Linked DNA regions of Styela clava. The main gene of each other region encodes a partner of the protein of the gene in region 2 in a complex. Links are inferred from orthologs where the notes say so. Each region holds a gene or a part of one and is shown on either strand. Other genes may lie near its edges.

Region 1 (7,053 bases), on a different chromosome or scaffold from region 2:
TTATTTTAGATGATCCAAATTATCATCAGCATCACGGGAGGTTTCCTTTTAATCATGATTACGTCAAAGGCCTTCAATTCGAAGATCAGCATTTGTCTCAAGGTGGCGCCCCGGAACACATCGCAAGTAGTCAACGATTACCTGTAAATGATTCCTATCCTGCGTGTTATCCCTACTATTTTGCCGAAAATATGTATGCAGATGAATACATGGATTCAGAATGCAGCCCAAACTTGAACACTGGAAATAAAATGCCACCCTATGCGCACGAGGACGCCAAGAAACCCGACTATGGTGCAAGCCCCTCAAACAAGAAGCATACAAAACGCTCAGATGAAGTTGCAGATTTGGAACCTAAATTCCGATCACCCTGGGAACTTGTGCAGAACAAAAAGACAATGCCTGAAATGAAGTCTATCGTCGCTAAAGATATGTCACTGCATCAACCGTCTGATGAAAAGAAACCGTCACCTGCCGGAAATAAAGACTTGAAATCCCCTTGGCAACCCGTGTGGAAATACAATTTTCCACATCTTCTGATGGAAGATACGCAACTAGATCGCATCATAGAGCTACCGAAGACAAAGCATGGAGGAAAAACATTCCAAGTCATTCCAAGGCGACGAAGGTAAAAAGTCCATAGGTCATGGAAGCATTGCAAGATAAACGGAATTTCTAACTTGTTTGGATTACATAGCCAACTTCATGTTTATGCATATATTATTACGGAATTTTTCAGGTCAGAATCACCTTCGCCAGGAGGCAAGAGATCTGTCGGAAACAATCGGCTAGGAACTCCATTTGTTGACAAACCGGTAACTCGGTCTGAACCTGATGGAAGTGAGTTTATATATTGCTTCACGAGGAGATTGACGATTTAGGCAAAATTTAAATGATATTTTTGCAAAACCATGCCGATTCATAACTTCAAATTTTCATAGTTACGACAGAATGTAAGCTTTGCCTAAAAATCCTATTGCTAAATCTAATAAACTGGACAACTATTCTCTTGCAACTTGTACAGGCATGGTGTAGTATTGGCCAGTACATCATTAAAATGATATTAGTGAAAATATCACCTACAACTTTTCCAGATTCTTCTCCAAAATGTGAATCAATATGGAACAAAAGTCGACAAAGCAAAACTTTTTTGAAGGATAATGTTACGAAGCAGATTGCTAGAAGGTACATACACAATTGTGTCTCATTTCGCCTAGTTTATTAAGTAACTTTTTGTCTTCACTACCAATTCATTATTATTTTAACACTTTTCGAATAGAGACAATCTCATAGCTGTTTTTATATTAGGTACTAAACCACAAATCATTGGTTGGAAACGTTTTTTATATATCCGAAACGTTTATACATTGACAGGCAAGAAAACGGACACACGTTTTTGCAATTAGATAACAATGGTTCATTAGAATCTCCTTCTCCAAAGGTACTTTCTTATAGCCGACATTTCACGCCGTCCCCAGTACACCAACACTCGCAAAATGAAAGTGACACAAAGAAGGAAGAATCGGATTTTTATGCGAACCAATACAGGTATTTTGTAATAAATTTTACCAAGCAAATCAAGCCCTAGCCCCTCTTATGAAATTATGTCCGACTTGGACCATAAAATTGAATAAGGCATAAGCTAGAAAGATGCAATAGAATTGCAGTGTTTTTTATAAATCATTTTATGCAGGCCTTATCATGAAAGACCCATTTCCACTGCCTCAGACAAATCACGTGATCAAGAGGAAATATCTGAGAGGACAACAAGGCCTAATCATAGTTTGAAATCAGAGAATTCATACAGAAAACTGAGCAAAGCGGTCAATTTTGCTCCGAGCACCTTTCCTCGAATGCCCCCACCATCTTATAGAGAATCTGAAATGACGGACGGAGTTGAAGATTTTGTCGAGAACAATGGTAGATACTTTGACAATGGAGGATGTTTTTATCCGAACGAATTTGGCATTCGGAACCCACTGGGTATGAGCAGAGAAAACGCGTTTGTAAAGCGACAATAATAGAGCCGATCTAGATGGCCTGAATTAAGTAAAACGAAGCTTGTAGACATGTGGCTGATTTCTTTTATTTGTTATAAATTTGACAATATTGTTATTTTATAAACACTATAAATTGTATATATTACTAGCTTTTTTACATGTCATTTCTGCAGTTCCGGCAAAATTTCACTTTTCAACCATGCCGTTTCGATCATAATGTATGAATTAAATTGTCTCTGCTCTTTAGAATGAACGATATGGTATATACAGTAATGGGTGTCTCCAAAATGTCGTGCCCCAATGTACCACGTGTCCAGGAGAAGTGGGACACGTGGTACCCGACATTTTGGAGTCACCGTACAGGTATGATATACCGGGACGTAATAATGTTTTTCGCAGCGAACTATTGTCTTGTGGTTTGTTGGTACCGAACGTGGTTTATCATCATTTAAACTGGATAACTTGCTTTTCATATATCTCCTTGTAAAATTATTGTGCGTAATGGCGTCTTCAATAAAACATCTATATTTTCATTCGATGTGGATTTTGGCATTAATATTTTACAGCAACAGCAAATGCTATGTTCAGATAAAAATATTTAATTCACAATTGAACTCCAGGCACCGGCTGTGTTTCAGCTATTAGATTAAACTACCAACTTTCGTGATATAAACCAAACTGCTCTCTGTCCAAATGACTCTTCTGAGAATGCAAAATACTAGATAAGGGTTGTTAGATTCAGTTAGAACAGGGTCGTCCAACCCGTGGCCCGCGGAAGTATTTCGAGTGCCCCGCGCTGTATTCTTTAGAATTCATTAAAAAAAAAGTTGAGTATATTTATCATTCGAGTGATGTAATGTGCAAAGATATGATACAAACGATATGCTTATTTTCCTGAAATGCGCTCTGCCACCCCTTTCAAGATGCAATAGTCGCTACGTATATACATAAAAGCCATAGCACATACATAAAAGCGAGCTAGCCCCAGATTGAAAATTCGTTAAGAAATGTATTTTTCGGGTTGTCAATGTTTCATGTCCGGAAATAAAAAAAAGGCGTTTGCAAAAATAGGCTTGTCAAGACAGACGGTTCTCGTCTTGTTGAAAAGCTTGGGAATTCTATAGCAGAAACTTTAATTGCAGTGGCCCGCGCACTTAATAGTAAACTAAATGTGGCCCTTCAGTCAAAAAGGTTGGACGACCCTAAGTTAGAATATGGGATTTGTCATTTTCTGGCAGTATTTCACTGTACTGTAAGTTCATCATCTGGCAATGATTTTAAAGTCATATTGTCTCCACGCACTCCACGACTCCACGCACAATGAAATGATTCGACAGTGATCCTCCCATCATATTTGTTGTCCACTGTAGGATAAATTTGTATAAAAACAACAAAATTACGATTAGCACAGTTTCACAGCCATAGCACAAAGATATATATTTTCATTGCATAGCACAAGGAGCTAGCCTAGGAAAACGGCCTATCCAACAAATCGCTGTAAATAGATGAGTTTTGTATAACTTAGCTTAGAAGGCTATAATATCAAAAAGTCAAGAGTTTAGTCGTACCTAAACTATCTATATCTACCTTTAGCATTTCTCCTGGATTATACAGACGCCCCCTCAACAATATGCAACCAGTGAGCGCTGGCTCCTAGAAACGATTGGTCGGTTAAATGTTTCGTGTCGAAAATACGCTACCGGACGCGGCACATGGAACAACAATAAAAAACAGTACTCGTGAGACGCCAGCGGAATACTGTTTACATTTCCCACCGGGGAATAACGAGTTCATAAATTCAGATGTGTGAATAGGTTTGCTAATCGTCAAAATTTCATTTTACAAAATACTAAACTATAAAGGGTAATTAAACTTTTTAGAGTGTTTTAATCACAATATACTTGCACAACAATCGTATTCAACTTTTATTGAAGCTGAAATTTTATCCGCATGGGATACAGTTTGATTTCGCCATTTCACCAAACAGTGATACTACAGACACATGTCACGGTCGCATACGCCACTTTGGCATACACTACAGCTGCTTAATTTTGCGCGTTGCAGGCTTTTGTAGTTTTAATCGCAGGTCTCCCTTGTTTTTTCATTGATTCTTTGCGATGGATTTGGGAATTGGAGCAACGGTTAAAAATGTTCAGATAGATGGTTTGGTAAGTTGTTGCTTTTTTTAGATAAAAAAATCGTTACAGTTAATGCCTTTCAATTTTATATTTGAAAACTCAGAAGGTTGACACTCAATAATACCGGTATCGGTACCCTGCAAAAACTCCACCAGTCCACGGTACCGTACCATATGTCCGTAGTCTATGTATGCCTGACCTCTATTGTATATTTAAAGAGGTGTAGGAAATGGAACATTGTAACTACCGGTATGTCTGCATGTAAAATAATAATTCTACTGTTATAATGTCTTTAGTGTATAGTCTACCCTCTGACCAGTGATAAGCTGGAAAAATCATAACAACCGGAACGCACCTAATTGCAAAAATGTAATAGGCCTATATATATTTGCAACACAACGCGAACATTTACAGAAAGTTTTGTCTGTCCTAAGATAGAGCCGAAGGACTGCAAGGAAATATGAAGAAATTATCTGAAATATGTCGGTGTAAAATTACAAGAATATTAATAGCAATTCAACACAAACATTATTATTAGAAAGGTATAAAATGAATTTCTATGGGGTCAATGGTCCGGAAAACATCTATGACGCGCTACTGCTGTACTAATTATTTGCGTGATGTGATGTAAAAAGAATTATGAATTATGATGTAACAAAACATGAATTAATTAACTAAGATTACCAGAGGAATCGACTTTTTGTACCATAATTTTAAATCAACAACAGGAACGCAAATGCAATAAAATGTCCAACAACTGGAATGCCTTTCCGGTGCGTTCCGGCTACAGCTCACCACTGCCTCTGACCCTAGTAGACATCACAATTGCATAAAATGACTTATTAGGATTTACATATATTTATCTCGGGGAGAGGAAATCTGGTGAGACGGCTTAATCATATAACATACCTCAGCCTCTCGTCCAGTTACCAGTCCATGTTGTATGGGATTGTTAGCCTGTTATTTGTTTCAAATACATTGACTTGCAGATTTGGTGGTGGAGGAAGCTGTAAATGTGAAGCGGTTATGTTAACCACCCTAGGCCCCCAGGATTCCAGCAATCCTTTTAATTATCTCCAACAGGATTTGAACCTGAGAACCCACGCAGGGTAATCAGAGGTGCGGTGGTGAGCGTATTCCTATTGCTGTAACGCTTAGCACGATACGCCATACCACCAAGATTTATGTACTTCATTTTATAACACAGGTTGTCATGAAAATAATCAAACACTGTGAGGAGGACAACACCGGACCAGAACTTGTGCAGGGAGTATTACTTGGACTTGTTGTTGGGGAGACTTTAGAAGTCACCAACTGTTTTCCGTTTCCTCGTGTCCCTGAAGATTCAGAGTTCGATGAAGGTTGGTTACAGTACTAAATAATTTGTTTTCTTAATTTGGTTTTTATTATTTTTTTGAGATATTAAGTTTCATAGGGCTTGGGATGTTCGTTTGTGCATACTCTCATTGATATTAATTTTTTTATCTTTTTATATATTTACTATTTCTTTTAATATACTAGGGATTACAGTCCAAGTCGCAATCTTTTCTTGTTATTTTCGCTATTTATTTTTATTTTGCTATTCAACTTATGAATCCCATGAATATAAAACTAGTAGGCCTATCAAACTAAACATTTTTAATTACTCAAATTCAGAAAAAAAAACTAGCAATATAATGAAGCCCTTGAATTACATGTTGTAGTATCACGATGAAAGTTTTGCAGAGCTTATGATACTTATTATACCCTTTACAGTTCAATATCAGATGGATATGATGAGATGTTTACGTCATGTTAATATAGATCATTTACATGTTGGATGGTATCAATCATCATTTCATGGAAATTTTATCAACAGACCTTTCCTAGAATCCCAGTTTTCATATCAGAATGCCATTGAAGAATCTGTTGTCCTAATATATGGTAAGATTTCTTATATAGCTTTTAATGTTCGGATTTCTATGTATTGAATGTATGATGTATCAAAAATTAATGTTCTTTTTTTGTGTATGAAATAATGTATTTACTCTGACATAAAAATCCTATTTAGATCCACTGAAAACAGGACAAGGAAATCTTTCACTAAAAGCTTTCCGTCTTACTCCAAAAATGATGAAATTGTATGAAGCTGGTGAATTTACAGTAGAAAGGTAAATATATGTTACACTCATAAGGAGATAATAACTATTGCTGTGATGATAACAGTAGTGTGGAGGTTGCTATATGCCCATACACTGTAATATGTATGATAGGATTGGTTTTAAATATTAGCCATTTACTTCATGCACTATTTTCTATTTTGTTTTCTGTTGTTGTCATTTGTTAGAAAATTACTTCGATTGTTTTCAAAGAATCACCTCATAATTTTTGTTATTTCTAATTCAAACTTCCTTTCTCCATTACATGGATAATCTCAAATAATCTATACTCTCGAAGTATGTGAACCAAGATGGCGGACACCGGAACGTAGTTTGTGTTCCAAGGGAGGGTTAGGCCATAATTTTATTCCAATTTTACTCATTTAGTTATATCGGCTCGAGGACTAGCCAAGTGACTCCCGTAGTATTTGTAGTTGAAATTAACTGGTAAACATACTATGTACCGGTGTCCGCCATCTTGGTTCACATACTTCAGGAGTACAAAAAAAACTAGTGTCCTGTGTCCATATCTTATTTGTCTGTCAAGTATACTCTCAGCTGTTCGTTTAGTTTGGATTTGGATAAAACCTCTCTCATAGTTGCCGGTATTTTATTGTACTATTCTCAGCTAAGGTAATGTGATTTCTACTTTATTTTAAGCCTTAAAGCTCAGAAGTTGGGCTTCACAGATGTATATGAGGAAGTTCCTATAAAAATCAAAAATTCACCTCTTACTGGACTCATGTTGTTTAAAGTAAAAGATGAAGATCCAGTACC
Region 2 (6,942 bases):
TTAAATTCAAGCAATTAATTAATTTTTGAAAAATTGTGAGTTTTCTTAAGTTTGAAAATAGAACTATGTAACTAAATGAAAATTCAAATTTGTGTATATTCATAACCAAATTAAATTATTTAGACTTCCATTGAATAATGAACTATTATGCTATACTAACACAATTGAATTAAAATTAATTTTTCATTCCAAACACCAATTATAACTGTCATTTGGAATTATGCAACTCTCTGCCTTTGTGCTAGTGGATCCTTATGCAAATAATGCTACAGCAGGAGGTATTAAAATGACAATTCTATTTGCTACAAGAGTCTTGCTTGCTGCTTACTAACACAATCGAGATTAGAATTCTTCAGTCAAGCATAGAAATATCTCTCATTTATTCAATTATGGTCGAGTCAAGGCACTAACTTATTACTAGAATTTCTATGAAATTTAGGACTGTTTCAAAGTGGACTCAAACAGGTTCTAGTTTTATGATATCTCATATAAAGATATTCTCAATTAGGTTCCCATTACTCCAGTTACCAGTGTTTACTTAATTTTTCTACTATTCTATGCATGTTTCAATGACTATTCATAGAATCCACATACCGTAAATATTTTATTGAATAAATCATGATAATTAAGATCATACCTTTTTTAAATCGGTAGGAACAAGATTAATGCTTCCATTACTTCCAGCAACTTTCAACCACGCACAATATGTATCATAAAGAAAAGGTGTTTTGATGTCGTAACCATGAAAGAAATTATGCAATCTGTAAAGTAGTAAAATTAATTTTTAAATTTTTCTCTAAATAAACAAGACAACTATAGTTAAGCAACATCAATTTATTTGAACATTCAAAAAAAGGATTCCAACCATAGAACAAAAAAAACAAATGTTCACATTTATCCAAACAACAAGAATAACTATGGGAGACCAAAAGGTATTGATTGTGTCCCACTTGTCCCATTTTCAGTACACTTGTCCCACACTGCTTTGTGTTAGGGTAAATATGCATTGTGGGACAAATGGTTAAACTAAGCATAATATGACGTGGAAATCATGTTATGTGATTGTTTGAATAAATATAACATTGTGGCAGTAGGTTGGAGTATCCATATATAATGCGATATTCCAATGAGAACAATCGTGACAAGATTATGACAAATGTGGGATAAGTGAGAGCTTGGTTGCAACGTTTAGACGACGAACTAAATATGAGAACAAATATTTCCAAAAATATATTGATAGATATTATTTACTAATCCACATTGTGGAACATTAAAACCAGGATCTGAATTGGATAGATTTCATTAGGATATAAAAATGAAACTAAGGAAGCACGAACTTAAGAAATATGACAAAACGGCTGATGAGGATATCAAGATAAACTAACCCAGAAACAATGGCCCATAGTTTGAAAAGTTATCTGTAAAATGATATTATTCAAACCAGAAACACTTCATGGATTATGGATGATAGTGCAAAATATACATTCTTTAGTAATATTTTTACTCTTAATTGCATTGCAAAAATTTCTTTATATTACTTACAATCGCATAGAGAGAGACGCTTTGCCAAATTCTGCAGCTTTGGTCAGTTGGTCACACAAAACTTTTATCAGTGGCGTACAATTTGTAGGAGGAATGACGAAAAGTAAAGAAAGAATGCTGTTTATTACTCCTTCAATGTCTGCAAATATACATTAAAACAAATTGAATGAATACATGTTTTGACAATATACACTATTTGGGAATATTATTCAAAACCTTGTACATAGTTCATAAGGCTCTGATTAAGAGTGAAAGTGGTGACTCCTCTACGGCCCATAGGCAGGGGCCATGACCCATCAAATTGGGCCTCGGCCCATCAGGCTATGGGCCATAGCCCATCAAGTTGTGTGAAGGGACTATTCACTTGGCTAACACAGACAGTCCCTGAACTCATAATAGAACTATAATGTTAAAAATATGAACAAAATTTTGTCCTAAGCCTAACCTGGTACACATACTACAGGAGTATCCTTTTCTGTAGCTTGGTATTCTGCTTTATTTTTATATAAAGGCTCATTGTAAAAAAAAATTGGTGGCATCCCGTGTTTTTGTTTGGTTCGAATATTAAAAATTTTGGCAAGATAATTGAATTTTTCTTGATGGGGCATGGGCCCAATTAGATGGGCCATGGGCCGTAGAGGAGTCACCATCCCTGTAGCTAATTAATGGAGGGCAAACATTCTAAAACCCATGTCAACAAACTGACAAATCCCAAATTTACGATGGGTCATGTCATGTCATATAAAATTTTTACAACTCTTGGAATATATACCTCTGATGTCACAATTCTTCCAAAGAATTTCTGTTGATTTAATTATCTCGCTGACATTTTCATAAAGATCTTCTTTGTTTTCAATATCAATCTCTGCACCAATTGACTTTAGATACTCACGCAATTCCTTCGCCTAAAGAAAATGACAAAATATTAACTTCAAGTCCTCAATACAGCACACACCATACTGCTGCAAGCTTGCAAAAAATTACTTATCGAATTAAGAAATATTCTTGCTAGAGAATAAAAATCATAAATTGATTGCATTTAATCACTTATCTCAGGATTCTGCTAACATGCTAAGGTGCCAAGGGTTTTATCAGCTTATTTCTGTATTTGTGTAATATCTGAATACTGAATTTATGACAAATTTGACAACCCAACATGAAAGCATACGAAAACTACTGGCAACTGCAGAACATCTTTAATAAAGAAACATCAAAATAAGTATAAATACTGAAACAAACAGATTAAAATTTTACCTGATCTGCAGGAGGAAGATCGATAAATGCTGGAACACTCATATTTCAGTATTTAACCTTGAAATTAAGAGTACAAGTTTTTTTCCACTTCCAACACACAACTTCGCTACCGTACCTACTTTGATCAGGTTATTCTGTAATTACTGAATTACTAGTTTTGTTTTTGCTAAACCTAAAAACCCTTGCTTCCTTGCCTACTTTCTGACTTTCATGTCCCTTCCACGCCTCAAACGCAACATTGAATCTTCTATAAATGCTGGTCATGTTACATGTGTGTAACGACATTGTGAATTTCATGTTCAAATAAATCATTTCATTATTTAATATATATATATATATATACATGAAAAATAATATCTACGTGGAAGATAATATTTCAATATGAAAGTCTTATTTTTTTTATGTTTCCACAATGTGGTTTATTCAATTTGGCAGTTTTTAGCGTCTCAAATAGAAAATCGTGAAAAGCACCGGTCGAAAAGCATGCGCCTCGTCGCCGAAGTCAATGCGCACAATGAGCCGCAAAAGCGACTCGTGAAATGTGAAAGTAGTCTTCACAATATTTTTTTGACATAAACCGAAAAATGTTATATATGAGTCAAAAATTGAGATCAAAAAAATTAATAAAAACAATCAAATGATTAGGTGCAAGAAAAAAGACTAACAAACTTTATTGGTCATCGATACGGGTCATCGATTTTTGACTCTTGTACGAATTAAAACGAATCGACTTCATCTGCCTTTTGGTTACGGGAGGCGCGATGGTGAGCGGTCTATATTTATATCCATTGACATCGTTTCAGTTTTTGATTGTATCACAGTTTATAAACGGCGAATTGTTTATATCATCTTTTTCATTTAAAAAGAAAATCAATTTCAAGGTCTTGATCATCGCTGAATCTGTCAGTTGAAGATAATACTGATCTTCATTGAGTACTGGCACAGGAACAAAGTTATTATGACATACGTGAAATAGTACCCACAACTTGCCACTATCTGGGGCAAATCAAGTTCTTGTCGTAAAACTAAACCCACAACTTGCCATAATCTGGGGCAAAGCTTCATGTTTGGAAGTAAGCTGATGAAGCAGTTACTTATGCTGCTGCGTGTGCAGACGTACCATTGTTGGTAACTTGTGTATGGTACCAGTATAATTTATCAACATACTTGGTATATACAGAAATCATGTATAACGTTATATAGTCTATAACCCTTTGTTCTGAATAAAGTGGTAACAGGACACTGAGACATGGATAATATTATTAAATAGTGGTGTTTCTTGGTCGAGTGTTGTTTATTACTGTATCATTGTTTTTTATTATTTGGGCTTGTCATTGCATATTTTATTCCCAACCCCCACCTGACTACGTCGTCCGAGAACTTCGTCTTGATTGCTCAAACGCCAGTGATTGCCCACAATCAGTACGGCACATTATACAATTCGGGTGACATTGTCCCATTTCAGGGAAACCCATTTTACAGATGATCAAACACCCCTCCTTTGGGAGACGTCTGGACATTGTTGTCCCTCAATATTGGTAATAATACAGTATAATGAAGTTGCGCTGAATACTATAAAAAAGCGCAATCTAGTAACGTCATCATTGTATTCCTTGGGAAAAGACGATCGATTTACTGAAGGAAAAAAAATTTTACAGTAGCATTCGAGAGTTTTTAGCAAAAAACGGCAATTTTGGTCATGTGACGGCCGCGATTAACTTATATTATTATTAGAGAACCATGGTGTGATATGACGCATCTGACGTGGTCCCAGACGCCACTTGTTTGTGAGACACATAGTGTTTGTTTTATAGAGCCAAATGGAGGGAAATTTTTGGAATTTGTATAGTGTGCTGTACTGACAATAACGAACGCCAGCGATCCCTGTCATAATTGGCATAGCTACGGCGAGACAACAAGAGAAAAAGCTTGCCAGACTTCGGGTAATCGTCTTAAATTTTGGATGGTTATCCGTATATTTCGGAGGGCCTTATTACGTCACTGTGAAGCACAGTGATGTAATATTTGATGGCGTAGTCAGGTTGCAGGTGGGGGTTTGGAATGACACATACAAACGAAACTACACAAGAATCCTATTTCGTCGGTGCCATTCGTATTAAAAACGCACAAATTATTAATGCTGTAATGGTTTGCTACCAGTAATGGACTGACTCATGGTTGTATTCAAAATTGACTGCAGGTAACATTCCTCTTGGACATTGTTGAACGAAATTCAAATCCCTAAATATCCAATTTGTGTATTAGTATTATCTTTAAAATGCTTCATTTTCAAGTCATCATTTTTTTAGTGGTTTGCTGTTCCGTGGGAGGTCCTCATTTTCATAATATTGAAAGGGGCTATCACAAAGTTCACTGGATGAATTTAATATTATACTCGCCACCAAGTCATATCCCAAATTTTGTCTATAGATGCGGTCTATGCTGAGTATGAAATATTTTACTACAAATTAATAGCGTATATTCTTTTTGGTAGGTTTCCAGGTTCAAGAAGACGAGGAAGTTACGTGGCCATGTGAGCCACGGCCATGGTAGAGTTGGTAAGTGAATGAAAAGATTCTGAAATTGTTCAAAACTTCAAATATAACATTGCATCTTGATTACAGGAAAACATCGCAAGCATCCTGGTGGTAGAGGAAACGCTGGTGGACAACATCACCACAGAATCAATTATGATAAATTGTAATATCAGAATTTAGTTTTTTACTTTCACTGAATGTTTGTGGACGTTAATTTATTTGTTACATTTTGTGTTGATAAACTAACGTTTGTGTGCCAAAACAAAGAATGTACAGCACTGGGGTCTAGTGTATTTTCGTACTTCTAGTTGTTTTGAAAATTGTTTCCATATGTCAATCCTAACCTCAACCTGACTGTCATCCAAAAATTAGTCACGATGATTTTATAAGGCCCTTCAAACTATACGAACTGTCATCCAAGAAGCGCACTTTTAACTGAAATCAAACAAGCTATTTTATGCGTCACAACAATCCCAATGTGAGAGAGATCTGCCGTTAGTAAGTTCTTCATCGTCGGCGCAGATGCCATTACAGGCGATCAGAGGTATACCTTGGCAAGCTCTATGACACGGTTGTGACATAATTTTTGGGTGACGCAGTCAGGTGGGGGTTATGATTGACTTGTGAAAAAATCGTTATGAGTGCTTGAGGTACGAGACACCAACACTGGATGATTGTCTTATTTGGCAAGAGTTTTTTGTGTACCGTGTTACTTTGTAGATATTAAATATAATTATTACTTTAATATAAGGATTTATTACTGTTTTATAGCCATCCTGGTTACTTCGGTAAGGTTGGAATGCGAGTTTACAATATGAACCGTAACAAGCAGTATTGCCCAACTGTGAACCTCGACAGATTGTGGTCACTTGTCAGCGAACAAACTAGGCTGAACTACAAGGATAAGAAAGATGTTGCTCCAGTTATAGACGTCGTCCGAGCGGTTAGTTATATATATTCTATATTTTTTATTACTGTGACAAAGATCTGTTAATAATTACCGGTATGCTTTGAACTGAAAGGAATCTTGAGGTAAATGAACTTCCTACCAATTTGTTTGAGTAACATTTTTTGCCATAAGAAACAAAAGTGGTAATTTTCAATATGCTTAAATGGGCAAACTACGGCCTGCGGGCCAATTCCGGCTCGTTGGGTAATTTAATGTGGTCCGCCTGAGGCTGCCACAATCAACTAAAACCAAATTTTGATGTTTTAGCTAAAAATGTCTCGAGGAATTTATTGAGACTGCGATTTAATTTAGTTTCGTCACAAGGCTTTTTCGCTTTTGTAACACCAATTTTTTTTTGTTCATAAAATTTAACTTTTATGTCATACTTACATGGCCCGCCATTCTAGATGGGCAAACTGCTCTTATGCATTCTAAAATAATAATCAAACATATATCTAAATAACAATTGCTGTCGCTACTTCTGCTTATTGCTTTGCGACATTATCTTTCTTTATTATTTTTTTATTTTTTAAAAAACGTGGAAAATTGGAGACTTTGTCATGCGAGATCATACACTCAAACACCCTTCTGGTGTTTCGCAGTCTTTTCCTGTTCTCCTTTATTTCATTACTTCTCTTTTTGAATCTATGATCAAAGGCA

What was found. Proteins that work in one complex are often made in the same cells at the same time.
Region 1: eukaryotic translation initiation factor 3 subunit M-like (region 2) and eukaryotic translation initiation factor 3 subunit H-like share a complex: the UniProt entries of both Drosophila melanogaster proteins name them as parts of the eukaryotic translation initiation factor 3 (eIF-3) complex. The link is inferred for Styela clava from reciprocal best matches to the Drosophila melanogaster genes eIF3m and eIF3h.

Annotation. Positions count from the first base shown.
Region 1 is NC_135257.1:9,053,688-9,060,740, forward strand, and holds the start of eukaryotic translation initiation factor 3 subunit H-like, read left to right. Parts: upstream 1-3,991; 5' UTR 3,992-4,117; coding exon 4,118-4,168; intron 4,169-5,345; coding exon 5,346-5,499; intron 5,500-5,893; coding exon 5,894-6,061; intron 6,062-6,188; coding exon 6,189-6,288; intron 6,289-6,936; coding exon 6,937-7,053. Other genes in the region: uncharacterized protein LOC120345504, read left to right, coding at 10-628, 740-840, 1,095-1,185, 1,375-1,548, 1,694-2,021. UniProt on the Drosophila melanogaster protein: Component of the eukaryotic translation initiation factor 3 (eIF-3) complex, which is involved in protein synthesis of a specialized repertoire of mRNAs and, together with other initiation factors, stimulates binding of mRNA and methionyl-tRNAi to the 40S ribosome.
Region 2 is NC_135252.1:4,104,914-4,111,855, forward strand, and holds the start of eukaryotic translation initiation factor 3 subunit M-like, read right to left. Parts: upstream 3,005-6,942; 5' UTR 2,839-3,004; coding exon 2,797-2,838; intron 2,448-2,796; coding exon 2,315-2,447; intron 1,682-2,314; coding exon 1,543-1,681; intron 762-1,542; coding exon 638-761; intron 1-637. Other genes in the region: large ribosomal subunit protein uL15-like, read left to right, coding at 3,558-3,560, 5,291-5,354, 5,421-5,496, 6,105-6,276. UniProt on the Drosophila melanogaster protein: Component of the eukaryotic translation initiation factor 3 (eIF-3) complex, which is involved in protein synthesis of a specialized repertoire of mRNAs and, together with other initiation factors, stimulates binding of mRNA and methionyl-tRNAi to the 40S ribosome.